4 linked regions of the Diceros bicornis minor genome follow. The protein of the gene in region 2 interacts with the protein of the main gene of each other region in a biochemical or structural test. Links are inferred from orthologs where the notes say so. Each region holds a gene or a part of one and is shown on either strand. Other genes may lie near its edges.

Region 1 (7,503 bases), on a different chromosome or scaffold from region 2:
GTAGCCAAGGAAAGGACTGCATTTGAAACAATGATCACAAAGTGAAAGGCTCCTTCTCCCATGACCTTTGAAATAAGAGGGTCACTATCTCAAAAAGGAGGATCTGTAGCTGTGTCTTGACCTCTCTACGATGATTTGTCACCATGCGGACAACAGCCCTCATATCCTATACGTGATTTCAAGAGAGAGAAAAATGACATCTTATTGACTGGAGGATATGACCAACCATAGTGTTCGGCTGCTGTCCACATTCTTAAGGGGTGCCCTTTGCTCCCAGGATTGCTTTACATTCCACCAGTGTGACTCTATAGAACAGTAGGAGATTGGTTATCTGTTCTTGGCTAAAAACAATATTATTTCCTTATTATTAACAACTCACTTATGCACTATAGCTATTTTTCTTTACCTTGGGACCACATTTTGCCTCTCTTGATATTGTTATCATGATACCAAACAAATAGTAAAAATTAAAATCTGGATACCCACACATAATTTATTTAATTTCCTTGAATTCAATAAAATTCCTGATACTTGCCCTAGTCAGTGATTTCCAAACTTTTTTTCCCCTTCTTTTTGGTTACCAATAGAATTTGTTTTTCCAAACCATAATAATAACAGGTAAAAGAAGACTACTTTGATTGGAGAAGTTTAGGGAGAAGTACCTGTTCATCTTCTCTTGCCAGCCACCAAGAGACCTTTGAGTCAAGGCCAGGAAACCATTATTCTAGTCAAGTATTGTCACAGAAGTACAATTAAGTTGAAAAAGTATTGCCATCACCACCTAGAATAGCTCAGAGACCCAAAGAATTCTAAAGCAGTAAGAGGATTGAGACAGAATCCAGTGGAAATGTCTCATGTAAAGAAAAAGGGCAGAGAGGATTTCTAGATCAAGGTTGCACTGTTTGTTAGTGGTAAAGCCAGACTAAGTCCCTGGTCTCCCATCTCCCAGTGAAATGATCTTTTGTTGTGGTGGTTCAAAGGTTACCATGGCTTCTCTTTCTTTGGGACTGTTTCTGGCTACTTACTCTCTCTGAGTTCTGAGTCAGACAAACACTTCCAAGATTTTGGAAAAAATCTATGCATACTCAACCATGATTTCAAAAAGGGAACAGCAGCTTTACTTCAATGGGAAAAGCCAAAGAGGCCACCAAAGGCCAGTCTTTGCCACCCATTTCTCACGGTCACACACCTCTAACTTCCCACTTCCCAACTTCCTTTCCCAAAAAAGTTAAAATTAAAAAGTACATCTGTTCCTTTGAGAGCAGGGCCTTAGCACAACCCTCTACATCTGCCACAGGAAGCAAGCCTTTCTCAGATTAGTAGTTGTTAACACTGGGAAGTAAAGGCAGACTGATGTAGAAGAATAAAAAATAAGAAAAAACATATTTTACTATTTCTAGGTTGGAAAAACAGAGTATTACTATATCCTAGATACTTAGAAATAGTACAGTCGTATGTTTCTCAAGATAAGATAATTGGAGAAAGTGAAGAGAGAAAAGGATAACTCTAAGAGACACTACTTTATTTTTTTCTTTTTTACCCGCAGAACAGTTTTTATTCTTGTGGTGATCTGTGGCCATTTACTTTGCTTACTAATGATACCCCAGCCCCTCGCCTCATATATATGTATGTGTAAGTGTTGTTTATTAGCCGTTCTGGAAACATAATAGACATTTAGGTAGAATAGAGCTTTCTGAACTTCTCAAACTCATGCTCAACTTTCTGCCACTAAAAAACTGAAAAGTTCTGGGAAAAGTCTTAAAATAATTTTGCTGGTATACCTTTATGTGTGTGTGTATGCCTGAAACATACATTGAAACAGAAGAAGAGAGCAGGAAAATTTATAATATTTGATATTCTGAGGCAAAAATATGTCCCTGTAGTTCCTGCTTTCCACAGTTAAGTAACTAGCTAAAGGTGTAATTTGCTTTAAAATTTTATATCACATAAAAGAAAATTTAGTAGTGACACCCACCCTCCCTCCCTGAAATTATCATTGTTAATAACTGAGTACATTCTACCATACGCTTCAAGAAGAATTTATAGGTAACGCTCTTCATGCATTCAGCCAGAGTGGGCACTCCTTCCTAAGGTTTAAAAAAACACGAAAACCACAAAGAATGTTTGCAATTATTTTCTCTTGGTTGTCGGAACAGATGCCTTTCCTCAAGGAAAATGCTTCAGGCCAAAACAAAGCAATATTCATTCAAAATATATTGTTTAGTAACTGTGCAGACTCTGGATTACATGAAATTTACTTTTAATGCAAAGATTGCGCTTTCCTAGGAAAGGTTTATAAGTAAAATGGAGCAGGAAGACAGGCAGACGATAAAGTGTTAAAAGAATCAACTATACCAACGGCAGGAGCAGTTCAAGAAACAACAATGCAAGTACGTTGAAAGGAAACTGGGCAATGTGGACATGATTTTGTCTAGAGGTCATGCAGGAGCACCTGGCTGGCTTTATTTATAAGGCAATTGTCAAATCAATCTGTAGAATATGGATGAGGTGAAACACAGAGGTAGAGTATTATTCTACATCATCTGTAACTTTTCAAATACAACCTTCATGCTGAAATTCCCAGGAGAATGTAAGTGACTCCAATAAAGAAACCTGTCAGTCAGTCAAGAGTGTTTATTCATTATCCCCCTGGGCCAGGCACTGTTCTAGCCAATATGAAATGATACAAAATAAAGAGTAGTCATCACGCTTATAATCTCCAGAGAGCAAATGGATTACATCTGCAAACACATACTCACACACACACACACACACACACACACACACACACACTCTCTATGTGGGTGGCCAAAAAACTCAACTATGCAAACATATGACAGCCTCACTTAGAAAAATCCTGATTAGAATATTAAACTTACAAAATGAGAAAAACTGGGGAGTAATTACTTTTATTACGCATAGATTAAAATGCATTCATAACGCATGTCTTTTACATAACAAGTCTCATTATGCTATTAAAATTGGGAACACTCCCCTTCTCCCTCAAAAAGCTACACAACGTTTTTGGAACATATTTTTTGTGCAAATATAGATTCACATTGGTATTGAGGAGCTATTAAAGGGAATAAAATAACAAGGCTAAACTCTAAATTCTTTCAAGTCAAAGACTGGGCCTTATTTGTCTTGATATCCTGTACTCTGAAGACAGAAGTGGTAAAGAAGAAGAAAGAATGAATGGAATAGGTGAGTAGAGGTTTCAAAGAGGAGCTGAGCTTAGTAGAACTTTAAGAGAGGAAAAAAGAAGAGGACTAGTTACTACAAACACAGCTCAGGTTGGTTGGTTTCAGTCGGTGCCCAAACATAGGAAGAGGGCGTGGTATTTTCAGCATGACTGAGGAAGGGTCAGCTGCCGGGTTGGTCCGGTAGGTGTTGTGTCCCTGCCTAAGCACTCCTGGATCCTTTTTCAGGGCAGCGCTCCTCGATACTCAGTAGACAGCCTTGCAAGGCCAGGAAAGGCAGCTCCTTAAAAAGAGGCATTTGAGACTCCACCCCTATTTCGGCAGACGCCTTAAGGGTGTAGCCTCCCTTCCAATCCCGTAGGGAGCACCACACGTGGTCGAATTGTTTGCATTGACTTGTTTCACAAGACGTTGGGTAATATTTCTGATTTGCTTGCCATGGCACTTGCTTGATATTAATTTAATGTAGCCCAACTAGTATGCAAGCCTCAGAGGACAGAGACTTTCCTCTGTTTTCACCACCACAGCCCCAGCTCCTACAACAGTGCCTGACACAGTAGGCATTCAATAAAGACCGTACTTGTTAAACGAATGAATGTTGTTGTTATTTTGGCCGTTTGTCTTGACTTTTGCTTTATCCATCACGCTTCAGAGAGCTGGAAAATGGAGAGAATGGAGAGAAATCCTTGAATTCCAACTTCCCTTCTTCCTTCGCTTCAGAAACTCTGGCCAAGGGTCCCGGACAAGCCCTTTGGGAATGGGGATCCCCTCGGAAATTAATAACGAGTCACGGCCACGGGGGGCGGGGGAAGAGGCAGAGTTGCAGGAAGTTCTTCCCCACTTCAGTCTGCTTTTTGCAGCATCCTTTGCCACCCATTCTGCTCTTTATTTGGGGCGAGGGGTGTCCTGTGGAGGAAACCAGGGGCCGCCCTGGCTGCATTCCTCGCCGGGGTCGTTGGGGTCCCGCCTGTAGCGAGCCCCGCAGCACCCCCTGTCTGTGCCAGCACCTGCTGGACTGCCAGTTGGCGGCCCTAGCCGGCGGGAGCGACGCGGCCCGGGGCTGCCCCTCCCCGAGGCGCCGACCCCCGCCCGCCCCTGCGGCCGCCCGCGGGAGAGCGGCTCAGCCTCCCCCGCTCGCCGGCCGCGCTCCGCCCGGGCTCGGCCCACGGCCCCCTCCTCTCGACTGCCGCCGGGCTGGGGGAAGGTAGCGAAGGGGAGGGGACAAGCCGGAGCCTTGGGTCGCCCGGCCTTCTCTCTCCACCCGGTGCCGAGACGCCGCGCCGGGAGCTCCGAGGTTTGCGCGGAGCCCGAGGCGTGGCAGTCGGGGACGGGGAAGGACCGGAGCCCCGCGGTGACCCCGAGCTGCCGAAATTCCCTTGGCTCCGAGGAGCGAGGGACGCACCCGAACAAGGTGAACTTTGGTCGCGGAAAACTCCAGCCAGGTGCCGGAATCCGTGCTGCGGCGGTGGGGACCGGGCGCAGGCTGCGCGCCGGGCTGGGGAGCAGGAGCCCCGCGGCCTCCCTCCGCCCGCGCCCGGGACACCTCGGCCCGGAGCCCCCCGGCCCCGCTCCGGCTCCGAGGCCCCGGGGACCCGCCGCGGCGCCCTCGCCTTGTTTCTTCCCCCTCCCCCTTCGGGGGTGGGGGTGGGGCGGGGGAGAGGGGCGCCCGGAGAGCCGCATCTATTGGCAGCTTTGTTATTGATCAGACACTGCTTGCCGCCAACTTGGCTTCGAGGCTGGCTTCGCGCGACCCTTGAGTTTTCGCCTCTGTCCTGTCCCCCCAACTGACAGGTGCTCCCAGCAACTTGCTGGTGACTTCTCGCCGCTCCCCCGGCTCCCCCGCGTCCCCACCCCCTCTTTCCTCCCTCGCCTTCACCCCCACCCCCACCACTTCGGCACAGCTCAGGATTTGTTTAAACCTTGGGAAACTGGTTCAGGTCCAGGTTTTGCTTTGATCCTTTTCAAAAACTGGAGACACAGAAGAGGGCTCTAGGAAAAAGTTTTGGATGGGATTATGTGGAAACTACCCTACGATTCTCTGCTGCCAGAGCAGGCTCGGCGCTTCCACCCCAGTGCAGCCTTCCCCTGGCGGTGGTGAAAGAGACTCGGGAGTCGCTGCTTCCAAAGTGCCCGCCGTGAGTGAGTTCTCGCCCCAGTCAGCCAAATGCTCCTCTTCGGGCTTCTCCTGCTGACATCTGCCCTGGCCGGCCAGAGACACGGGACTCAGGCTGAGTCCAACCTGAGTAGTAAATTCCAGTTCTCCAGCAACAAGGAACAGAACGGTGAGTCTTTCCCCCCCAACTCCCCCTTCTGTTTTCTCGCTGTGTGCGTTACGTTGGCATTGTGCGTTGGTGTGTGATGTACACCAGCCTGCGAGGGTATAATCGTCTCTCTATCCATGCAAATACGCGCTGCGTTCATTGGCGTGGACTTTTGGGGGTTACGTGCAGTTTGCAACTTCGGGAGCTGCTACAGAGCTCTAACAGGGCAACGTGAGTGCCACTGCAGCCTCAGCTAGAGAGAGGACACCCTGGGAGCGATTGTGAACGTCAGTTCAAACTCACATTGCAGGACCTCTCGTTGCCAGAGTTATAAGTTCAAGAGCTGCTTCTAAAAACGAATCCAAAATGAATGAGTCCTGGCATGTTTGACTTCACTCAGGTTTTTTTTTTTTTTCCCATTGGGGAGGTGGGTGTTTCAGGAAATGTATCAGCCACATTAATTGCAGCACTCTAAGTGGAAAGGCATCAATTAATCAGTAAGTAGATAGGAAATACAGAGGTCAGGAGGCCGTGTGGACGTTTTTAGGGGGAATTAAAAAAGTGTACTTCTCTTGAGCTCTATTTTTTTTAAAAATGTGCCTTTGTACTCTGAAGTCCTTACCTTTCTGGTAGTGTGTTTTTCTATGTGTTGGTGAATGACTGCTATTTTGTGTGTGCTGGAAACGACTTAATCCTGCATAGGAAATGAGAATTACTTTCAGCTTTCAAGTGTACCTGAAATGTTTAGAAAACTCTCAGATGCAAGTTCCCTTGGGTTGGGATTGCACAGAGCTGGAGAAAGGCTTCTTTCATAAAGCCAGGGCAGCTTCAGGGTGTGTAATTTGCTTAGCCTCTGAACCCCATATGATTTACATCATTCAATTTCTAAACTCTTTTTCTCTTGATCTACCATTATGAAGTCATTTTTGAGAATACTTTGTAAATAGAAATTTTATACTGCACATGAAACCACAATGTTAATGTAGACTGTCTAAAATTAGAATATTAAACACCCTGTTTACAAGTGGTGGCTCTAAATGTTCTTTGAAAGGAAATGTACATGTTTTTACTGCTTTGCATGTCATCTATTCAGAATGCAAGAATGCTGTCACTTCATTAACCAGGCGAAATGAACACAAACAGCATACCTAGAAAATCAAAATGGTGTGTACTATATTTTTAAGTCACAGCAACTTTTTCTTTATGTGTTGGGGTGTTTCAAAGCTTCAACTTTGAATTTAAACTCTCTGAAGTGTTCACCTTTAAGAAAGTACAGAAAGTTCTAGAGTACAAAAGTAGACAAAATAAGGATTCCTGGGACTTTTGTAGAGATTGTTTATATTTGTTGTATGTGCAGCAATACACAGTATCACATTTATCAGCCAATAATAATGTGGTTGCTTCCTACAACTTGCTAATGTGACCGCACATGGCACCTGCAGGCTGCTTGAGCTGCTGATCAAAGGGCAGCCTAGGGATCTATTCTGTAATCACAGGAGCTGCAGAGGACTGGGAGAAGCAATCAAAGGAGCCACAGCACTAGCGGTACCCAGGCAGGAAACAGATCAGACCAACCTTTGTTCTTTCTCATGTAAAATAAATGTCCAGTTCAAAATATTGCTTCTTACTAGACAAGCTTCTCCAGCATGACAATGCGTAATATTCCTGGCTTCTGTGTTCTGTTTTTTATTGTTCCTGTCCCATATCATTTCCCTACTGCTCTGTCTTATCAAGTCTGTCCTGGCATCTGTCATCTTCCTGATTCCCTTTGCTACTTGTGCCTCTCATTGTCCTTTCCTTATTGTTCTTTCTTGTGATCCACATACCATCATCCCTTTGTAATGGGTCCCAGAGGTCTCATACGGTCGTTGGCCACTTTACTGAGTAGGTCCACACCCTCTGAAGAGGTGAGTTCATTAAGCCTGACCACACACATTCTGTTGCCATCAGAGGCTGGGCCATTGCCATTCCTAAGATGCATGGTGTTAAAAATAGCCTGGTTGTTTCCTAATCTGTGGGCAGAGTATTGGGCTATGTTTAGC
Region 2 (7,167 bases):
TTTAGCTTTTCCCCCAGAATTGCCACTTTTCCATCAGCAACATGTAAACCCGTCGCAGCTCCCCGGAGGCCAGAGGGAGTCCCACCCGCTGGGATCTGCAGGAAGGCGCTGGCCACCACGTCCCCAGAACGCGTCTCGGCGCTGCGCGCCGCCCACGGCCGGTCCCCAGGAGGCACAAAACCCGCCCGCCTCGGCGCCAGACGCGTTTGCAGCTGGAAAGCCCGGCCCGATGCCCCTCCCCCTCCACCCCGCCCCAGGCCGCGCCCCGGGAGGAAAGTGGCCCCAGGGAGCCAGGGCTCTGCTTCAGGTCCCTCGTGGTCTATCTAAAGGCTGTGCAAGGGCCGAGGGGCAGCTACGGGTTCCCTCCCTGTGCCTCCCCCCACCTCCTCTTTCTGCCTCCCCCTTCGCTTTCAGGACTCCAGTCCTGGAGCCCAGCCACACTTGGGTCAAACCAAAAGCAAGACTGTGCAAGAGCCCCGAAGCAGGGACTGACCAGGGCGTCAAAGCGAGGCTTGTCAGGCCCTCGCCTGTCGGGGGACAGAGGAAGGGCCTCTTGTATCGTGAGGATCGTGGAAAGAAGGAAGCCGAGGGTGAAGGAAAAGGGGAAAGGGACCGTAGGGTCCAGGTGGGTCATATGGGCGTTGGAGGGGCGTGAAGGACGTAAAAACCAGAGCCAGTGCGGCAGCGGATGGGGTGCGCACGCCTGGGGCGCCGGTTCCTCCCCTCCAGCTCCCCGGGGTCCCGCTGGGCTCTAGGGTGTTAGTCTGGTGACCTGTGCGGCTGATCGTCGTGCCCCATTTGCTCTGGATGGCTCTCTCTGCTCTGAGAGGCTGCCTAGTTCTGGTCGGAGCGACCGAAGTGAGGCGAGTCGGTCCAAAACGTTGAGCAATTCGGCTGCGAAGCCAAAAAGCCATTTCCCACACCGCCCAGCCCCGGGCTTTTCCAGGCAGCTCGGCCGGCGCGGGGCAGCCCGGATCCGAAAAGGGCCATCCACGCTACTTCTCCAGCCCAGGTCTGCCTCTCACCCTCCGAGATGGAATGAGTGGCAAGTTCTTCCAGGCACACTGTCTGCACATCCTGAGGTCTTAGCAGGGCTGGTGGAGCAAAGGGCGGGACCGGCGCTCTGGTTTCGGGAGAGACCCACAGCGGACAGACAGCCCAGCACTTCCTTCCCGGCAGAGACGCGAGGCCAGGCCACTGGCAGCTCCCGCACACCTGGCCAGGCGGCCAGGGCTCCTGGCCCCCTCGGGCAGCGGTACTCGTGTCGGGCCACACTCCCTCTCGCTTTAAGCTGGCCGCGACCCTTTCCGAACAGAACCGCTGATCCCAGTAGTTTCCGAGCCAAGTGGACACCGCCCCATCCCCTGGCGCTGCCGGGAGAAGTTAATCTCACGTGTAAACGCCGATTTCCATGGGGATAGACGGCTGAGGAAGGAGGGGCTCGAGGAGACAACTCGGAAGTGGGCAGGGAGGCCGGCGCAGGGAGTGGAATGGAGAGAGGGGGCACTGGAGAGGATGAAGCAGGCAGGGCGAGTGCAGGGGGCGAGGGCCACGCATCCCCGCGCGGAAAGGGGCACGCGAGGGGGATCCAGGGCTCCGGTGCCCGGAGGGAGGTAGTGTGGGCGGTTCGCCTCCCACCTTTCTGTCTTACCTGGGAACCAAGTTTCTCCGTTTCGAGTCGTCCCTAACTTCCCCACAAGAAGTTCGGCACTTTTCTGGCGACCTTCCTTCCTTCCTCCCTGAGGCCAGCACTGGGCAGCAGCAGAACCCCGGGTTTTGCAGAAACGATTCCACCGAGAAAGGGGGCGCTCAGAGACGGGTGGGGGTGGGGACCACAGCGCACAATGAGGGCCCCTTGGAGCGCAGTTCGAAATTCCTCAAATCCCAGTTGCTGGAATGCGAGGCGACGATGACTTCTTTACTCGGGGCCAAATGTGTTTGTCATTACTCCAGACCGCCTGCCTGCCTGCCCGCCCGCCCGCCCGCGCCGCCGTCGCCCCCGCGCTAGGACGCGCAACCCGAGCGCACTGCGGGGCTGGCGCCCGCTCTCCCTCACACTTCACTGATCCCACAAACCACTGGGGAGCTCCCCAAGTCCGCGCCCCCTCGGCTTATCTTGCAGCCGCCACGGTTGTGCTGAGTCTGGCCCCAGCTCGCACCCGGCGCAGCGCCGTCCAGTAATTCCGCGCGCTCGGCCGGCGCCATGTGAACCCGGCGGGTACCAAGGTCCAGCCCTCTCCAGCCGAGCCCTTCACGCCTCCTTTCCCCGCAACCCTTTCCGCGCCCCACTCGGCGCTCTTCTCTCCCCCCTCCCCCGGTCCTCCAGCCGCGCTCCACGCCACCGGCTGCAGCGCTGTCCCACCAAACCGCGGGCCAGGAATGAAAATACTCATTAAAAACCTGTCGCCTTCCAGGATCCACTGCCAAGAAGAGGGCAAACACCTCTGCCCCCACTCCCAGCATTTCTTGGTCCTCGTCCCAGTATACAAATACCACCCCCAACCCTAAAAGAAACCTCAAAAATGTAAGCCTAAACAATTTCTTGGGGAGGCCGTAGAGTTGTTAGAAAAACACTGCTTTTAAAAATAGGTCTGGAAAATGTGTTTTTTTAAATCCCTAGACTTTCGAACTCTATGGTTATCTTCCCTCCAAGTGAAGTTTATTCAAAATAAATTACTCTCTAGACACACTACTGGAATTCAACTCCACTTTTTTTTCCTCATCGCCCAAAGTTTGAGTGAAGTTACTTCACTTTCAGCCCAAAGGGCCTGATCGGGGACTTCTCTTAGAAGCAAAAATCATTTTTTCTCCTCCCTTACCTTCTCCTCCTCTGTCAATTCGCAATGAAAATCCTACATATGGAGTAAAAAGTGTATCCACGGCCTCCAGTCCTCTCCTGTAGTCGTCCCCTCCTCTGTTTCTCTCCCTCTAGCTCCAACTGTAATGGGCTCAAAAACCGCTTTTTGTAATTGATTCAATGTTATAGTCCATCCTTCTAAAACTAATCATTTGCTCTAAGTAAATAGCTGTCAGGAAATGAAGCCCCCCCTCCCTTGGCCTCTTCAAAATAAAAGTTTCCCTCGAACTCCGTGCGCTCTGAATCTCCCAGCCTCCAGATTGCGCCTTCGCTTTTGCTCTTACGCAATCAGGGGGTCCAGCCCCAAGCCCCAGACTTCGACAACAACTGGGGGGCGGGAAGAAGCAGACCAGATGGGGTGGGGGTGGTGGAAAGGGGAGGTGTTGATGCTCTGCCGGGAAAGAGGTTCGTGAAAATACAAGCTGCCCATCATTTCCAGAATGAGTTTGCCTCCTGATTTGAAGGATCTTTTCCTACGCTGCTATATTGCTTTGCATTCTCTTTGAAAGGAAGAAAAAGAACCCATAAAATTGCAGTTAATGCCGAGAAACAATATAAATATGGAATTGAAAAGTGTCCCTTCTGTAGAAATGCCTAGCCTAACTAGAAACAGGGCCTTCCGGAGAGGTCTCCAAGCGGTTGCGTCGTTTTGAACCTGAGGTCTTTTAGGGAAAGTGCCGTGTAGTTGCTAATCCTTTAATGGGATTAGGCAAACTGTTGAGTCCAATATGAAGATGATGGGGTGTTTTGTTTTGTTTTGTTTTAAAAGGGGGATTTGAAAGAGAGTACAAAGAATCGAGGATCTGCGTAGCTTTGGAACATTCTCCGACATAACGACCTTTACTCCCTTGGAGCCACTTATCTTGTCGTGTCTTTGTTTTCGGGGTTATCTGGGCGACGTTGCCTGGCTTCTATCACGCACACAAAAAGGCTCAGGCTTGAGCGTTTGGGGAATCGTCTACAGCAAGGCTGCCACCTCCGCGTTCGGGGGAGGGTGCATGTCGACCCTCCCCGCCCCGTGGGTCAGACCCTACCAGTGCCCTGGGGTTGAGAGCGGAGTTCCAAACCCTATGTCCAAGGCGCGAGGCGCTCGACAGCGCCGGGAGAGAACGATCCTGCCCGCGAAGGAAAGGGGGCGCTGATGCTCCAGGAACCAGACCTGGGCGGAGTGGGGCTTCTGAGCGAGGGCGGGGGAGGGGAGCGCGTTCTCCTTCCCCGCCTTCTCTAATTTTGAATTCTCTCGTGGGGTGGAGAGAGGCGTCCTCTATCCCTACCCCCACCCCCCACAGTCTCAGAATGGCCAGGGCGGCCAGGTTGAGACTTGAACGTCGGACAGCCATCACCTTCTCCCTCATCGGGAGGGTGGACACGGGACGGCCGGCAGGGGAGGGTCACAGAGAAGTACTCCGAGGGATGCTGTACTTAACTGGGACGGGCTCCTTGGGTGTCAGCCTCGGGAAGACGCCTGCGGCTGGGCCAGGGGCCCCGTTCCCCCAGCCCTTCTGCGCGCCCGCCTCTCGTGCATCTTCAGTTCGGGTGACTGCACTCCTCACTATTACTTCCACATGTTCCTTCAGGAAATCATTGAAGGCAGATATATGAACAGCCCCTTGTTCGGAATGCTAACAGGATACCGTAATGTTTGTAGATAATGGACGCGAACTAAAGACCCCCCAAAAAAACAGTGCGGAATAATAGGAAAAAGCGGGTGCTAGCTTTCATGCTATTAATAAAGACAAGTGACATCTAAGTTTTTATACCAAGTACCCAAGAGGGTAGGAGGCGAGGCAGGGAGCCTACCCAGGAAAGGCCTGCTTTGCTGCCGGAAAATGCCAGCCGGGTCGCGCCGGGGTCTCCCGAACGCAGGGCCCCGCGCTCCCCGCCCACAAATGGTACCTTCACAGTCCATTTCAGAGACGCTTAAAGGGGCCCGAAAAGCGGGCTGGGCGGGGGTGTCTTCGGGCCGTAACTCCTCGCGAGTTTAAAGCAGAGGGAATGGATGAGCAAGTGAGCACCCAGTTGTCCTTCTGGTAGTAATTACCTGCCTAATTTGAATGATGCCTTTGTTATGATCATTAACAAACATTTGCTAAAGGTTTCCATGTGTGACATTCCAGAAGGTTTAAAGGCCTGGGGAGCTGACTCCCGGGATAGCGCACCGGTGGGGGGTGGCACAGGGAAGCAAATGGTTGGGGAAGATTTCTCCGAGTCTGGGCAGTGGGGGCCCAGACTCCATCTGAGATGGAGAGAGGTCAACATCTGCCTCGCCTGCAAAAGCAAAATAAACCCAGTGTTCAGGAGCAACCTCGAGGGCTGGAGGCCCTGGAAAAGAGGCGGTTCGTTCCTGAAAACGAGTCCAGCCCCGCCGCCCCCTCCCACCCGCACCTCCCACTGCTCATAGGCGGGTTTGAATCGTGCTGTCCGCCCTCCGCCGCCGGTCCGAGGCTTCCAGGGAGTCGGGTCTGCGCGCGTCGGTCAGCCTGGGCGTTGGGGGGAGGTGGGCCGAGCGGAGCTGCGCTCTCCCCATGTTGTTCTAAGATCCTGCCAGATTGCTCCCCCGACACCCGGGGTCCTGGGTGGTCCCAGAGACGCAGCAGGCAAGCCGCCTGGTCTTTTCCCCTCTTCCTCGGCTTCTGCCCGGGGCACCGCGGGGGACCAGGCCGCCCTGTGCGCCCCGGGGAGTGACCTTCACCGGCCTGGGAGGCGGTGCGAGAATCCCAGCCCGCACCCGGATTTTGATTGTCAACCTCTTGTGTTTTTTCCTTGAGGCATCATCATGGGGTTAAGAATGAGGCTTTTCTCCCCAAACTGGGAGTCTGAGCGGCTGCGACCCCCTGGGAAGGAGGCCCAACTCCGGAGTTGAGCTGGGCCGGGCCGTCTGGGGACAGCGGCGGTTCTGGCGTGGCCTCTCCTGTCTGGGCCCACAGGCGACATGAAATTGGGTCCAAGGGTATAAAGGGATGTAGTAGAGCCAGCCATCAAAAAGAGGGCCCCGCGAACTTGTTACGACCAGATAAACATGGTCTGAAACAAACAAAATCTGCCCCCGCGCCGTCTCGCGGGCTGGCTCTTTGGGCCCCCACTCCTCCATAACCGCTGCTGCTGCTCCGGGCATCACACCTTCGGCTTCGGTGGGCGTTTGCCGCTGAGCTGGCTTTTTGTTTCTTCTCTACTCCTCCCCTGCTCTCCAGCACCAACCCCCAATTCTACTTTCTTCGGGAAATTCACAAGGTCTTTTGCTTTAGAAGACTTATGGCTGTAGCAGTAATCAAAGCCGTTAGTTGTGAAAATCCCATGTAAACAAACTTGCGATTTTTTTTTTTCCAAATGAAGTTCATGGGGTGGGGGCACATTTCTAGCTTCTGATTTGAAGGGCCCTTTGGTGGTTTGCAAAAGAAAACGTCGCTACTACCCCCCTCCCCCACCCCTGTCAGTTCTTGACCGCCCCTGGAGGAGCCGCCTCCCTGGGCCCCGCAAAGGGACCTGCGTCGGAAAGGCTCAGAGGAGGCTTGTGGATGTGGCACACAAACGTGGGGGCCCCGCGGGGAGACCGGCGAGGACCCCGCCCTTGCCTCTGGTCTGCCCCAGCTGAGGCTTCCAAGCTTGCTGGAGCCTCTTTGCACTCTGAGAATGCAGAGAGTCCCAAGTCTTGGAAAAGGAGGAGGAAGAGTTCTCCAAAAGGGTCGGGACCGGCCTGTAACTTGGGGTGACAGTTCTCCTCTCTCCAGGACTCCTGGCACACCTCCCCTTCTTCCCCGTTGCTGGATGGATCTAAGGGCGCAGCGTCTCCTCTGGGTTCCTTGGGGCTTCCTCTCCAGAGATGTGTCTCCCGAGAGAAGCAGAAAGCAGTCCCCTCTGGCTGGTGACCAGCTGCACCCTCTCCAAGGGTTCCTAACATCACAGACTGCTTCCTGACCCAACAGAGGACCAGAGATTGTAAGCCCTGTTTTGCTGCCCGGCCAGGCTCAGCCCAGCCCAGGTGGGCCTACACTCCTCAGAGTTGGGAAAGATGCAATGGGCCTGGACCTCCTCAGGATCTGGACTTTCTGATGCCCTTTTCCTGGGGAGAAAGCACTGCTGCCTCAGTCTGGGGATAGTTTTGTGCCTCCTACTCCCCTCCTTCTTTTTAGGCCTTAGCTTTTGCTTACTTTTAATTTGAAAACCCATGTGAGGGGAAGGGGAGGGAATGATGAGATTGGGAGGTCTGCTCTGTATTAGGGGCCTCAGCCATCCAGCTTTCCAACACACAGCTGTGACTGGGGAGGGGAGGGAGGGCGGCCTCTGTTTAGGTCAGCCTGACTGAAGAAAGG
Region 3 (6,976 bases), on a different chromosome or scaffold from region 2:
GAGTGTGAATGCGCGGGGTGTGGAGGAGAGGAGCCCAGCCAGGAGGGAGGCCACGGGGCGTGGGTTCTTACCCAAATTGGTGACCTCTTGGTCAAGTCGGTCCTCCAGTCTCCATTTCCAGGTCCTGGAAACAGAGTTCCTAGGGACCAGTTTCTTCCGAGGATCCAGGGGAAGGTGGGGCGTGTGGGGTCAGGGACGTCCCTGTCGCACCCAGGGCGGGCCTCGGTGCTCGCACGCGCGTCGTGCCCTGAGTCTCCCCCAAAGGCGGCTGTCGCGCGGCTGCAGAGGTTCCTGCCACCCTCGTGCGGCCGCTGTTGTCGTGGTCGCTATGACGACGTGCCGCGGTTTTATTTTTAATAGCGGCCGGCGATTAGGAGGCCCGCGCCGCCCCCCGCAGCTCTCCAGGCCTCGCCCTGCTCCCCGCCCTCGCTCTGGCCTCAGACTCCCTTCGAGGACGCCCCCCTTCCGCGTCCGCACATCTCCCTTCCTGGCCCCAAGCTCGAACTGGGCGCTTCTGAAATGCCAGGCTGGGAGGGGCGCAGAGGGAAGCACCCACCCAGGCCTGCTCAGAGGTGTTTCGGACCCCCAGGAACCGGAGACCCTCTGTGCAGAGGTTGGAAGTGGGAGGGCTGTGTGTGCTGTTCCTAAACACAACCGACTTGTCCTCCTTCATTCCCATACCCACTATCAAACCGAGTCTTTTAACCCCAAAGAAGTGTCCTCGGGTCTCCTCTGCCCCCGAGGAATCCGAGGCTCAACGGGCTGTGACGGCAGTCAGCTCTCCGGATGACTAGGGGTGGCTCGGACCCGTGTCCAGCCCGGGTCCCGGCGGTGCGCGTTTGGCCTCCTTCCAGCGGTCTCCCTCTCCGGAGCAATAGGAGGTTCCACCTGGACAGACAAGACTGGCTCTCACGTGCTTCTAGACGTTTCCAAGTTTTCCCTGGTTATGCTTCGGTCGTTCATTCTGACCGCCGGGGGAGCCCGCTGACAGCGGAGGTCGCATGGTGGGGCTGCGGCCTGGGGGAGGCAGGGCCGTGGGGGCTGCAGGTGTGTGAGGCACGTGGAAGGGCACTGTAGACCCGGGCCCTCTAGGAACCGCAGGAGAGGCCCCCTCCCCGCCTCCCCAGGTATTTGCGGGAAGGTGAGCACCCCCGAAGCGCCCTTGAAATGCCAGAGCCGGCTGGGCCCGGGATGAAAGACCGCCCGCGGGCTGCTCCTTTACTGCCTGTGTGTGGTGGGAGGGCAGCCGGCGGGGGCGCGAGTCTAATCTACAGGATGGGGCCGCTGGGGGCGGAGGGCCCGGCCGGGCGGAATTCTCGGCACCCACCCACCCACCCGGGCGTCTCTTGGCCTCCAGGGACCTCGGCCGTCTAGCTTTGGGGTCGCATGGCCAGTCTAGGCCTGGTACTCGAGCGACCCGCCGCTGGGGTCCGATCCCACCTGGTCCAGGCAGGCAAGATCTGTCCAGCCCAGGTGCACCTGCCCTTACGTGGCGGGGGAGCGGTCCGGCCCAGCTCAGGCCTCGGCCTCCCGAGCGTCGCTCCCCCGCACCGCCTCTGTGCCGCGCCTCGGCCGGAGGTGGCGCTCTGTGCGCCCAGCGGATCCCGGAGAGGGAGGCTCAGACACGGGGTTCCTCACGAGCGGCTCCTTTCTGTTCCTTCCCTTCCACCCTCGCGAGTTCTCCCGGCTTAGGCCGCGGCCCGGTCTTCCACGAGGGACTGGGGACTTGGGGACTCGGGGCCCTAGGGTGGGGACGAGGCACGCTGCAGCCCCCTCCTCCGACCTGGGCGCTCTCCTCTCTCGGAATGTGGGTGGAGGCCTCATCCAGACGCCCCGGGCACCGGATTCTGGGCGGGGGCGCGTGGCGGCCGCCAGGTGAGTGCCCCAGACGCGCCCCTAGACCCGCCCCACCTCCCACCGGAGACTCACTCCCCTCCTTTTACGGAGAAGGGGAGGCAGGGGCCCTGGATGCGAATCGTGGAAAGAGGCCCGAAAGCCGGGGCGGGGGGCGGGGGCCGGCCGCTTTTGCCCTTTTTGGCGTAGCAGCTCTGGGCGCTGCCCTCTGCCGCCGCTGAGGCCCGAGAGAGGCGAGCCGGCAACGGTGGAGCTTCTGCGGCGGCCTCCTCCCCTCCCCGTCCGGTGCCGCAGGACTGCAGCTGGCACGGGGGGTGGGCAAGCTCGAGGGAGGGGCGCGCGGAGCCCCGGCGACCGTGCTCGGAGCCGGGTGCCGCTTTGATGGATTTCACTGCCCGCGTGAGCGCGTGTGTGTGCTCACTGCGGCGGCGGCGGCGGAGGCGGCCGGGCCCTGCCCGGCCCCTGCGGCCCCCGCGCGCTTCCGAGGTGCGGGTCCGGGGCCCGGAATCCGGGGGAGGCGAGGGGGAGGGGGCGGGGGGAGGGGCGCGGTGGCGGCGGCGCTATAACCCCCTCCCCGCCGCCGGCCGGCTCCACACGCGCGCCCTGCGGAGCCCGCACAACTCCAGCGAGCCGGGCCTGCCCGCGCCTCCTTCTCCTCCTCGTCTCCCGGCGGTGGCAGCGGCTCCGGCGCGGCCCTGCGCCTGCCCTCAGGCCCGCGCGGCCAGGCCCCGCGCGGCCGCGGGCGCTGCCCGGCTCGGGCCGGCGGAGGGCGGAGCGCGGCGCCGGAGCCGAGGGCGCGCCGCGGAGGGGCGCACGCAGGCCGCCGGGCCGCGCCGTGCTGGGCCGCGCCGTGCTCGGCCGGGCGCGGCGGCGAGAGGAGGCCGGAGGCGAGCGCGGGGCCGGCGGTGGGCCCGGGGACCGTCCGCAGCCCGCAGCCCGCGGGGAGAGCGCGAGCCCGCGGCCGGGGCCCGGCCGGGCGTCCAGACAGGTGATGGGTGGTGCGGCGGCGGCGGCTCCAGCCTCGCTCCGGGGTCCCTCTCGGGGCTGATGGCCGCAAATATGCAGAATTACCGGCCGGGTCGCTCCTAAAGACAGCGCCGGGGAGCGAGCGCGGCGGCGGCCAGCACCGGGAACGCACCAAGGAAGAGGCCCAGCCCCCGCCCTCCGCCCCTTCCGTCCCCACCCCCTACCCGGCGGCCCAGGAGGCTCCCGGCGCGGCGGGCGCGGCGAGCGCGCACTCCCTGCTCCTCCTTCTCGCTGGCGCTGCCTGCCTCTCCGCACTCGCTGCTCGCGCCGGGCGCGCTCCGCCGGCTCCCTGCTCGCCGCGCCACCCTCCTCCGGGCCGCGCTCCCTGAGGGATGGTACTGAATTTCGCCGCCACAGGAGCCCGGCTGGAGCGCCCGCCCCGCGGCCTCGCCTCCCCGCCGAGCCGCCAGCGCCTCGGGACGCGATGAGGACCTGGGCTTGCCTGCTGCTTCTCGGCTGCGGATACCTCGCCCATGCCCTGGCCGAGGTGGGTGGCACCCCCCGCGCCCCGTCCCCTCTCCGACTCCCGCGGCGCACGCCCCCTGCGGCCGCCCACTGGCCGGGGCGCCCCGGGCTCTGCAGAGTGCGTTTTGATTTCTGCCAGGGTGGTCGTTTTTTAAATTTTCCCAACTGGGTTTTATTTTCTGCCATGCCTAAGTGTGTCTGGTGAGTTTCCAGCGTGTTGCGTCGCTTTGCCGTGAAGGGACGGAGTAGCGGCGGGGTGGACGAGTGGGGAGAAACTTCGGGGGGCGCGGGCTCCTCTCTGGGGAGGGAACCCGGGGCGCGGCGTGCAATGCAGTATCGGGGTGCGGGGAGCGCGGAAGGGGGTGTGTGAGAGCCGGCAGAGCCCGGGGAGGGGAGGAGAGCGGCCGAGAGGCAGGTAAGGGTAGCTGCGGCGGGAGCCCCCGTAGGCGAGGTGAGCAGTGCGGGGCCACAGCCCCCGGTTCCCGGTCCCCAGGCCCGGGGGGGCGCCCAGGCCCGCGCAGTCCCGCCCGCTCCGGGCCTGCTTACAGGTGGCTGCGCGAGGCGAGCCGGGGCCGGGCCAGGCGCCCGCGCCCTCCCACCGCCGGCGTCCCCACCCCCCAATCCAAAATCCCGAATCCCCGGGAGCCCCGCGGTGATGAATGACTTTCTGCAGCTTCCGTCCTGGGAACTTGGTGCTCGAGACCCCCCGGCGACCCCCGACTCCCTTTAAAAACCAGAAAGGAGCGGGGGGAGCCCGGCGTTGGGGGTGGTCTGGGCACGGCGGGGGAGCGGCGGGAGGTGGATGTTTAACTCTCGCGTCCCCAGCAGCCTCTCCAGCGCCGGCTGCATTTGGGGCGTCTCGGTCGGCGCTAGGGCCGCGGCTGGGCCGGAGCCTGGGGTGGGGCGAGTGTGTGAGTGTGGGTGTGAGTGTGTGCGCGCGCGCGTGAGCCGGAGAGACCCTCTTCCCTGCAGGCTCGGCCCGGGATTCCGGGGTGTGAAATTTAAGCCCCTGGCTGGATTAAAGTGTTGGGGCCGCTGTGACTTTGGTCGCCGATCCGTGACGCATTTCAACTTGATCTTTCTCGATGTCGATTTCACTATTAAATCGGAAACTCCGGGCCCCTCGCCGCCCCCAGACCTCCCGTAATCGACACCCCAGGGGGCGCGGGGCTCAGGCTTGGAAATATAGGAGTGGGGAGGACTTTCGTTTTGCGAAGAGCAGACAGGGATGGGGACTGGGGATTTGGGGTCTCACCCAGCCCCACCCCCAGCCTCCACCTCCAGGGCCCTGGCGGGGGGCGGGCGGTCTGCGCGCTAGGGGCCCGCGTGGGTCGGGCCGGGGCGGAGTCGAGGGCCACCTAGGCCCAGGGGCCAGGCGCGCTCTGGGGGCGCTGACCGTGTGGCTCTGCTTGCAGGAAGCCGAGATCCCCCGCGAGGTGATTGAGAGGTTGGCGCGCAGTCAGATCCACAGCATCCGGGACCTCCAGCGACTCCTGGAGATAGACTCCGTAGGTAAATCGCGCCCCTTCCCTTGGCGCGCGGGGAGGGCTCGGGCGGGCGGTGAGTGCGCCCCGGCTGCCTCCTGCATTCGGGCCAGGCCGGGCGCCGCGCAGAAGCGCACCGAAAGGTCAGAATCCAATCCCGGGCCATAAAAGCCCAGGCGGATGAGTCAGGCGTTTCTCTTCCAATCACCGCTTTCTCCTCCGGCGGCGGCCGAGGGCTGCTCGCTCGCCCAGAGATTGTTTTTGCATTTAAGGAAAATGCCTCGTGTGTCACAGAAAGTTCAGCCGCAGAGGGCGCCGGCGTCCCGGCCAGGTGTGCGGCCCGCGCCTGCCCTCGGCCGGAGGAGCGCGGGACCAGCCCAGGCCCCGGGCGCAGAGCCCTGGCCCGGGCGCGCGGCGGGCAGGCGCGCGGGGGGAGCCAGTGCCCCCGGGTCGGGCCCCTCTGTCGTCGCTGCGGACTCGTCCGGCTCCTGCCGCGGGGCTGGGCCTTTGTGGTTGCAGGAGGCCCGTGCCTTTCCCTTTTCACGAGCCAATAAAAAGGCGCGCCTTGGACACATCTGCTGTTTGGGGACTATTTTGGGGCTCGCCCTCGGGCCCTGGAGCCGAGCCACTTTAGAAAACGGTTTATTTGTAAAGCGGAGTTTGGAAGCTCTTGAGCGTCGTTGCGGAGTTGGACTGGCCCCGGGGTGGGCAGAAGTGGTTGGGACCCAGGTTGGCTGCGCTGGAGGGTGGGTCAGAGGGAGCCCCTTCAGAAGAGAGGGATTCTGGCCCGCATCTTGGTGGGTGGGAACTCGGGTGTGAGATTTAACTAGGAAAATACTCACATGGAAAACTTACTGTTGATGGTGAGAGAGGCCCCAGATGAACTTGTCAAACCCAGCAAGTAGAGGCAGCTGGGGTTGGTTGGAAGAATTTTAAGTGAAATGAAGATTTTTCTCTCACTGCAAACTACTGCGAAGTAGGGGGGCAGAGGGGAAATTCAGTAAAATCACATGGTCTAGTCATTTGGAAATTTGTACCTAATTATGGTGGTGGAGAGAGAGGTCTGACTATTTTCATTTCATGCCAAAACCATTTTCTAGCAAGGCCGCCGGTTTCTGTAGTTTCTTGACCCAGGAAATCCTTGGGCTGATCCTTATCAAGAAGGGGGTAGAATTTCACTTGGAGATCAGAGTTGGGCCGGGGGGGATTCTGATCTGGCTTCTTGCTGTGTAGCCCTGGGGAGAAGGTTTTAACTCGGGTTTGCTGAGGCAAATACTCGCCTGCATTTTGCTGGTCCCTGATGGATTTGGGAAAGTGGGGAGACTGTCTCCCCCAGAAGGTTCCAGGGTTTTTTTTTTTGGTTTGCCCAAGCGAGCCCTGTGATGGGCCCGGCCTCCTTGCGGGATGGTTTTGGGATGCCACCGGGAAATGGGCCATTCACCTTCTGCCGGTCCCATTCTTATTCTGGTCTCTGCCGCCCCGCCTCCCCCAGCCCCCACCCATTAACACTTTCAGCCTGGCAGCTGTGGGGTTGTGTGGACTGCATTCCTGACCTGGGGGCTTCTGGGCCCCGAGCCTCTTTGGGAGAGTCCAAACTGGAGCAAGGATGCCCCAGCCAGTTCGCCGGATAGCTTCAGATTCTCCCTTACAGAAGACCAGGGGGGCTCGTCTCTCTCCTGTCCCAGAGAGTACAGAGTGGGTCACCTGCCCCCTGTCCACCTGTCAGACGTTTTAGAGACTGAATATGATTCTTGGGGCGAGACTCCCACTGCCTGGGAAACTTTGGGGTGAGAACAGAGGAGGGGCCTCAGGAATCTTCCTTGCTCACTAGCCCTGCCCCTAGGGCGACCCTTTGTGACACAAACCCCAAGGTGGGTCTCCTTGCTCCTGATCCAGCCCCCTTTCACAGACATGGATGCTGAGAACCAGGAGCCCACGGTCTCTCACCTGAGCACCGGAGCCGCCCCAGTTGCTTCTATAGCTTGTAATAGGGGCCTTGTCTCGACTCCTGTCGTTCCTGAAGTGAAAAGTTGATGCTGGGGGAGGCTATAAACAGCTGGGGGGTCAGTTCTCGGCCCTCCAGGCCCTGGACTCCACACTGGGTCCAGCCAGAAGCCCATCTGGAATCCGTGTGGAGGGGGCTAGAG
Region 4 (6,960 bases), on a different chromosome or scaffold from region 2:
CCAAGTTTAGAGGCTCATGTCACAGGCCCCCTCCCCTCCTCTCACCACTCCTCAGGCGGGGTCTGGCATCTTTGCCCTAACAAGCCAAGACTCAGAGGGAGAAACAGGCAAGACATTTACTCACGTACTCATTCCTTCAGCCGACATTCATGGAGCAAGTACTGTATGGAGAGCTGCAGTGAGGCCCTCGCTCGTTCAGATCTCGGTCTAGTGCTAGACTGATAAACAGGCAATGACAGTACCACGGGGTACATGCTGTGGGAACCCAGAGCAAGCACCAAGCCTGGGGGGCTTCCTGGAGGAGGTGCCGACTATGCCGAGCCCGACACGAGGAAGAGGAGGTGTTCTTTAGAGAACTGCTGGTGTGGAAAGACCCATACGTTGACATGGGGTCTGCAAGGAGAGGAGACAGGAAAAGGGTTCTCCTTAGCGTGGCATTCAGGCCAGGTGCCATGTGGCCCCTGCTGCCTCTGCTGTCCCTGTCCTGCTACTTCTAACCAGTGCACCAAGACATCTGGATTGTAATGATTTGTGTCCATCTCACTCGAGAGCCTGGAGGTCCCGGAGTGCCAGGGCTGGGTCTCCTTCCTCATTCCATTTCCCAGTGCTTCCCACAGGGCCCGCATACAGTAGGTGCTCATTGATACTGCTCCCAGTAGCCTTCCCCACTCTGCATCCCTCCCCTGAGGCTGAGCTGTGTGCTCCCACAGCACTTTGTGTGTAAGTGAGGGCTCACGTCAGTACAGCTCCTTTCCGATGGCAAAGCACTTTCACAAATATTAATGTGTTTGATGCTCACAAAAGCCCTGTGTGAAAAGCGTCACTGTTGTCATCATCACACCTGCCAGGAGACAGCACAGCACGGTGGTTTAAGCGTGTGGGCTGTGCAGCTGGACTGCTTGGGTTCAAGACCTAACTCTACCACTTCCTGGCTGTGTGACCTTGAACAAGTTGCTGAACCTCTCTGTGCTTCAATTTCCCCATTTGTCAGATAGGAGTAACATATCTCATAGGAGCACCGAGAGGCTACACACAGAGTAAGAAGAACACTCCCTACCACACAGTCACCTCAATAATCATGGTGGCTGTTATCCCATTTATAGATAGGGACACAGAAGGCCACGGTCAAGACCACCCAGCTGTCCGATGGAGCAGGGTTTTATCTCTAAGTCTGTAGACTTCAGATCTTGTGTTTTGGGATTATCTTCCCATCCCCTCCCCCTCATCTCCCTGTCACCCTGTCTCCTAATTTATCTGTTTACGCATCTGTCTGTCCTTCTGGATGGGGCTCCCCCAGGTCAGAGTCTGTATTAGCATTTTGCTGTCTCCTCAGCGCCTGGAACGGCGCCTGGCCACCGGAACACGGGAAAGCTGTGTTGAAGGAAAGAGGCCCTCCAGGGGCCTGCCTTCCCGCTCTGCGCTTCCACACGGTTATCTCATCTGAGCCTCCAGACCACTCACGGCAGGTAAAAATTCTTCTACGACTGTATCGAGGTACAATAGACTGCACACATCAGTTTTAATATATGTGTATACCCGGGAACCCATCACCACCAGCAAGAACGACAAACATTTCCAGTACCCCTAAACTTTCCCCATGCCTCTTTGAAATCCCTCCCTCCTTCCAATCATAGATTTATCTCCAGATTACAGGGGAGGAAGTCGAGGTACAGAGAGATTGACCTTCCCAGAGACACTCGGCCATGAATGGCCACTCCAGGATCTGGGCCGAGGTGAGCTGGCCCCGGCCTGCCTCTGTGCCATGCTGCCTGGCAGTGATGGGCAGAGTGGGCGCCTGTGGTTGTCTGTAGAGAGGCCCTCTTGGGAAGCCCCCCTCCTCCACGCCGCCCTCACTCAGGTCCAAGGAGACAGTTTACGAAGAGACGGTGGGCATGCCTGTCTCGGTGACGAGGGTGTGTGCTGTGCGAGGAGCAGACTGACACCCCAAAGGGATGTTTGGGTACAAAGGGCAGATGACAGAGCCAGTGCAAGGGGACCAGATAAAGGTGTCCTAAAGCCAAGAGCCAGGTGATGCTGTGAGCCTGCGGGTCCCGTGGTGGGTGCTGGGCTCGGCAGGCGTGCGTGTGACTGTGACTGTGACCGTGTGACAGCTGAAGGCAGGGACGCAGCAGCTCCCAGAGCTGGGGGTGGAAGGCGTTAACTGTGTGAATGCTGGCGTGGGTGGGGGCCCTGGGCCTCAAACCTGGGGGGCTGAGGGAGGTAGTAAACATCAGAGTGACTGGAGGATCATGATGGCTCCCTGCAAGGATGCTGCAGGGCGGTGGGGGCTTGTGTGACTTTGCAGTTCAACAAATTCAAATTCAGCCAACGCTGGCAGGGCTTGTGGTGTGCCAGGCAACCAGCTAGGAGCAGGAGACATGGGCCCGGCTTTCAGCTGAACGGTCCCGGCTGCCGGGTTTGTGTGATCCCCTTGCGGCTGGCTTGTGGCTGGCTGCTTTCTGCCTTTTCTGGCATTCAGTCCTTACACTAACCCCATCCTACTTGGAGGCTGGATGGAGGAGCACAGAAAGGAAGTGACTTGACCAAGGTCACCCAGCAACTCAGCGCCAGGGCAGGATCTGAACCAAGCTGCAGGGCCTGAGTCCTTCACCATCCTTCCGTGCCAGGTGCAAATGTCTGGTCCTGGAGGTGTGGGCTTGGCCTCCTGGCCGGCCCTGGAGACATACCCCCACCACGTTGGCTAGAAAGCAGACCAGGTCACTGTGCCGAGGGGCGCGGCTGTTGGTCGCCCCTAGTTCTCTCTTCCCAAGAGCTAGATTCATGGACAGAGGGGCTGCCAGGCTCTCAGAGACCCTTAAGCGCCCCATCCTTGTCTCAGGCCCTCCCCGAGCTCCCGCCCCCCCTCCCCTCCCTCCTGGTGCTGACTCTCGGCCAGAAGAGGAAAGGCTGTCTCCACCCACCTCTCTCCTCTATAAAGGCCAGAACAGCTGAAAGGGTGGCAACTTCTCCTCCTGCCGCCGGGAGCAGCCCGTCTGCCTCCCTGCGCTCCCGCAGCCTCCCCCGCTGCTTCCCTGAGGGCTCCCGTCCGGCCGCCAGCGCCCATCTTTCATTCCCGAGATAGATATTTTGCGCACACACACATACACACACGCGCAAAAAGGAAAAAAAAGCCCACCCTCCAGCCTCGTTGCAAAGAGAAAGCCGGAGCAGCCGCAGCTCGCAGCCCGCAGAGGACGCCCAGAGCGGCGAGCGGGCAGGCAGACAGACCGACGGACTCGCGCCGCCTCCACCTGTCTGCCGCGCCCGGGCCAGCGCGCAGCCGGCACGCCGCGCGCGCGGAGCAGCCGTGCCCGCCGCCCGGGCCCCGCGCCAGGGCGCACACGCTCCGGCCCCCCCACCCGGCCCGGGCGGGAGTTTGCACCTCTCTCTGGCCGGGTACTCGGGCCGCAGCTGCAAAGCCAACTTTGAAAAAAGTTTTTTTGGGGAGACTTTGGCTTTGAGGTGCCCAGTTCTGCGCTTTCCGACTTCGGGGGCCTTTCCAGAAAATGTTGCAAAAAAGCTAAGCCGGCGGGCAGAGGAAAACGCCTTTAGCCGGCGAGTGAAGACGAACCATCGACTGCCGTGTTCTTTTTCCTCCTGGAGGTTGGAGTCCCCTGGGCGCCCCCACACGGCTAGACGCCTCGGCTGGTTCGCGACGCAGCCCCCCGGCCGTGGATGCTCGCTCGGGTTCAGGATCCGCCCAGGTAGCGGCCTCAGACCCTCGTCCCGCGCCCAGGCCCTCCCCAGCCCCCCAACGACGGAGACGGGGCCGGGGGCGGCGGCGCCCGGGGGCCATGCGGCTGAGCCGCGGCGGCGGCTGCAGCGGCCAGAGCGCCTGATCGCCGCAGACCCGAGCGGAGCCCACCTCCCTCCCCAGCCCCCGCCCCCCACCCTGGCCGCGGGGGCGGCGCGCTCGGTCCACGCGTCCGGGGCCCTGCGGGGCCGGGCCCGGAGTCGGCATGAATCGCTGCTGGGCGCTCTTCCTGTCTCTCTGCTGCTACCTGCGTCTGGTCAGCGCCGAGGTGAGTTGCGACGGCGGCTGGGGCTAGTTCGCTTCATTCATTACCCCCACCCCCACCCCTGACCGCCCTCGCCTCTCCCTGCAGTGAACTTTGGACCCTTGCAGCCTTTGGGCCTGGCGCCGGGCACTAGGTGACCTCCGAGGGCTGGGACGTGAGGTCCGGGAGGTGCCAGGCTCTAAGGGGAGGAGGCAGCGGTGGCTTTCTTTCCCATGGGCGATCCCACATTTCCGAGCTTCTAAGTGTCGGGGGAGGGTGTGTGTGGTCCTGTCTCCCACCCCTCAGGAACCCGAGAATAAGCCCCCTCCCGGCCGAAGGGAGAGGGGGTGGGGTGGTGCCGCGGGTGCAGAAGGCAGCGCGTCCTCCCGAGCCCACTTCGGTTCTAGCTTAGATTCTGTCCAGGACCCGGCTTGTCCGGGAGGTGCGACCTCGCGCACCGGTGACAGCCACGCCAACCTTCAGCGGAGGTTTGCGTCCCACCCTGGCTCCCGCTCCAGGTCGGGGTGGTCGCCCTCTGGCCCGCACAGGGCATGCCCAGCCGGAGAGCGCAGTCCAGGAGCAGCATGTGTCTTGGGTGCGGGGAGCGGGGGACGAGAGAGAGGTCTTGGGCACTCGGGATTAGGAGAGGAGTGGGGGTTCTTAGGAAATCCAGCCCCTGGGGCGCTGTGTGCCTGAGGCCCCGCCATACCTGCGCCCGCGCCCTGCGAGAGGAAGCACCTCTCCCCGGCTTGCAGGGTGCGGAGCGCGCCGCCTGTAAAAGCCTAGCTGCAAGGGAGGTGGGGTCTAAAAACGTCTGCGGAGCTCTCAGGTCGGATCAGTGCCCCCACCCTCCCAGGCTCACGTAGCAGTGAGTTGGCAAGTCTACCCGGAATCCAGGTGGGAAAGGGGGCGGGGCAGGGAGGAGGCGCGAGGTGGAGGCGAGGCGAGGGCAGCGGGTAGCGCGGCGTGCCAGGGTCCCGTCCCGCCTCTACTCGGCCGCGGCCGGGATCCCGCACCTCGCCCGCTCCCGGGGAGGGCCGGCCCCTCTCGGCCTCCAACGAGGCGCAGGGAGGCGGCGGCGGCGAAGGGGTTAAGGTGAAGGGCTCCGAGGCCGCGGCCCGGCCTTGGGCCGCCGCCAGCGCAGGTTGTTTTGACCACGGAAGAGCCGTCGCCGTCTCCTTTTGTTCTCCCGGCTCCTCGAGGGCCGCCGGCCGCCCGCCCTGGGGCCCCGCCCTTCCGCGGCCACCCCCTGCGGCCCGCACCCGGGAGGGAGGACGCAGGGCTCGGCCGGGCCGCCTGCAGGCCCCTCCCGACGCCCCCTCCTCTCCTCTCCTGCAGCCCCCCGGGCCGCGGCCAGCTGTTGGGGAGGGGGGCGCCGGCCGGCCCCAGCTGCCGCCTCGCCTCGCCGCGGGGCCTGGGGGCTGGGCCCGGTGCCAGGGCGTCCTGGGAACGGCGGCGCCCCCGCCGCTGCTCTCCGCAGCCCACCCCGCTCGGCCCCCCGACTGGCTCACTCACCCCACGCATGCACACTCTTGGCCGGAGGCGATGCTGCGCTCCGGCGGGCGGGCGGGCGGGCGGGCGAGCGCGCAAAGCGACGGGCACGCACTACCGCGGCCGGGTCGCGCGCTCTCCGCCGCCACGCCCGTGCACATGCGGGGCACACGCGCGCGCACCGCACACACGTGCACGCATGGCCCCCGCACACGCGGCCTGAGCACACGTGCGCGCACACCCACGCACGCATACGGGCACGCACGGTCCCTCTACACCCAGCGCCAGGTGCCCGCCCCCGCGCAACAGGTGGGTCCTGGAACCTCTTCACCTCTGTAGTGACCCCATTTCCTTCCTGGGTCTCATGAGGGAAGGGGAACCGGGGCCCTCCCATCAGGTCCCGGCTCGACGGAACCCCCTTTTTTTTGCCTGGTCAGGTCAGCTCCACGCCCCTCCAGCATTACCCTCTGTGATTGCTTTTTCCAGCCACCCCCGTGTGGCCGAAAGTGGTGGTGATGTGCCCTGGGGGGCGCTGTGATGTCCAGAGCATTTCTGTCTTCAAATGAGCCCTTCTTTGAACCTCCAAGACTGGAGGACCCCGAGCCGCTGAGGGGCTCCCACCCCCGACTGTTCTGGCTTCTTTGCTGATCCCGGCATGCTCAAGGGAGACCGAGTGACAGCTGGATGAGGCTGTCCCAGGCCTGCCCTCACCATTTCCAGCTTCAGCCAGCACCTTCTCCTCCTCTTCCACAAGTCTCATGGGTATGTGCGTCTAGGGAGGAGGCTGTGGCACAGAAGCTGGTGCCTTCTCCTCCCTTTAATCACAGCGTCCTTGAACGCATGGCCCTCAGGACCCACGATTGTGTGGTGCTTTGCAGTTTACGAAGCACTTTCCTGCTAGGCCTGAGTAAGCCTCAGGTGGCTGAGGGAGGAGACCTAAAGGGAAGACCTGCCGACATGGGGGCCAGTCCAGGAAGGGAGACTCTGGGAGGGCTTGCTGGTGGAGGTGGGCTTCGGGCTGACAGTGTCCCGGGCCTGCTTGGACTGAGCCTCAGGTGGAGGCTTCAGCAGCTGGGAAGGAGGGGTGGGAGCTCTGAGGCCTATGAGGTCCCATCTCCATCAGCTGAGCTGGCTTCCTGGAGGGTGACTCCCGCTGTCATGTGACGCCTCCGGCCTCAGCGCCCTTCTGCTGGGGAAGGAGTGAAGGAGCCCTGCAGGCCTTCACCACCCAGATGGTTCCTTGTGGTTTGCTGATGGCCTTAGGCGGTGGGAGACCCACCTGCTGGACTCTCCCAGTCCTGGAAGTGTGTGCAAGTTAGGATCAATCAGAATTTGGAGGCTTTGCTGCAAGACCCAGGAGCAGCGTGTGTGTGTGTGTGTGTGTGTGTGTGTGTGTGTGAAAGCGAGAGAGATTGATTCAGCAGGCGTGGTAAAGAGATGTTTGCCGTGGGCCTCATAAGTCCCTCTCAAA

The links.
Region 1: the proteins of PDGFRA (region 2) and PDGFC form a complex in vitro, tested with the Homo sapiens proteins (2 studies listed by BioGRID and IntAct, with this or other methods). The link is inferred for Diceros bicornis minor from reciprocal best matches to the Homo sapiens genes PDGFRA and PDGFC.
Region 3: the proteins of PDGFRA (region 2) and PDGFA form a complex in vitro, tested with the Homo sapiens proteins (2 studies listed by BioGRID). The link is inferred for Diceros bicornis minor from reciprocal best matches to the Homo sapiens genes PDGFRA and PDGFA.
Region 4: the proteins of PDGFRA (region 2) and PDGFB form a complex in vitro, tested with the Homo sapiens proteins (3 studies listed by BioGRID). The link is inferred for Diceros bicornis minor from reciprocal best matches to the Homo sapiens genes PDGFRA and PDGFB.

Annotation. Positions count from the first base shown.
Region 1 is NC_080750.1:44,820,524-44,828,026, reverse strand, and holds the start of PDGFC (platelet-derived growth factor C), read left to right. Parts: upstream 1-4,496; 5' UTR 4,497-5,364; coding exon 5,365-5,482; intron 5,483-7,503. UniProt on the Homo sapiens protein: Growth factor that plays an essential role in the regulation of embryonic development, cell proliferation, cell migration, survival and chemotaxis. Potent mitogen and chemoattractant for cells of mesenchymal origin.
Region 2 is NC_080747.1:42,185,819-42,192,985, reverse strand, and holds the start of PDGFRA (platelet-derived growth factor receptor alpha), read right to left. Parts: upstream 3,002-7,167; 5' UTR 2,820-3,001; intron 120-2,819; exon of another isoform or gene 1-119. UniProt on the Homo sapiens protein: Tyrosine-protein kinase that acts as a cell-surface receptor for PDGFA, PDGFB and PDGFC and plays an essential role in the regulation of embryonic development, cell proliferation, survival and chemotaxis.
Region 3 is NC_080765.1:13,954,983-13,961,958, forward strand, and holds the start of PDGFA (platelet-derived growth factor subunit A), read left to right. Parts: upstream 1-3,971; 5' UTR 3,972-4,004; coding exon 4,005-4,256; intron 4,257-4,760; coding exon 4,761-4,857; intron 4,858-6,976.
Region 4 is NC_080764.1:10,876,808-10,883,767, forward strand, and holds the start of PDGFB (platelet-derived growth factor subunit B), read left to right. Parts: upstream 1-3,943; 5' UTR 3,944-3,959; coding exon 3,960-4,022; intron 4,023-6,960. UniProt on the Homo sapiens protein: Growth factor that plays an essential role in the regulation of embryonic development, cell proliferation, cell migration, survival and chemotaxis. Potent mitogen for cells of mesenchymal origin.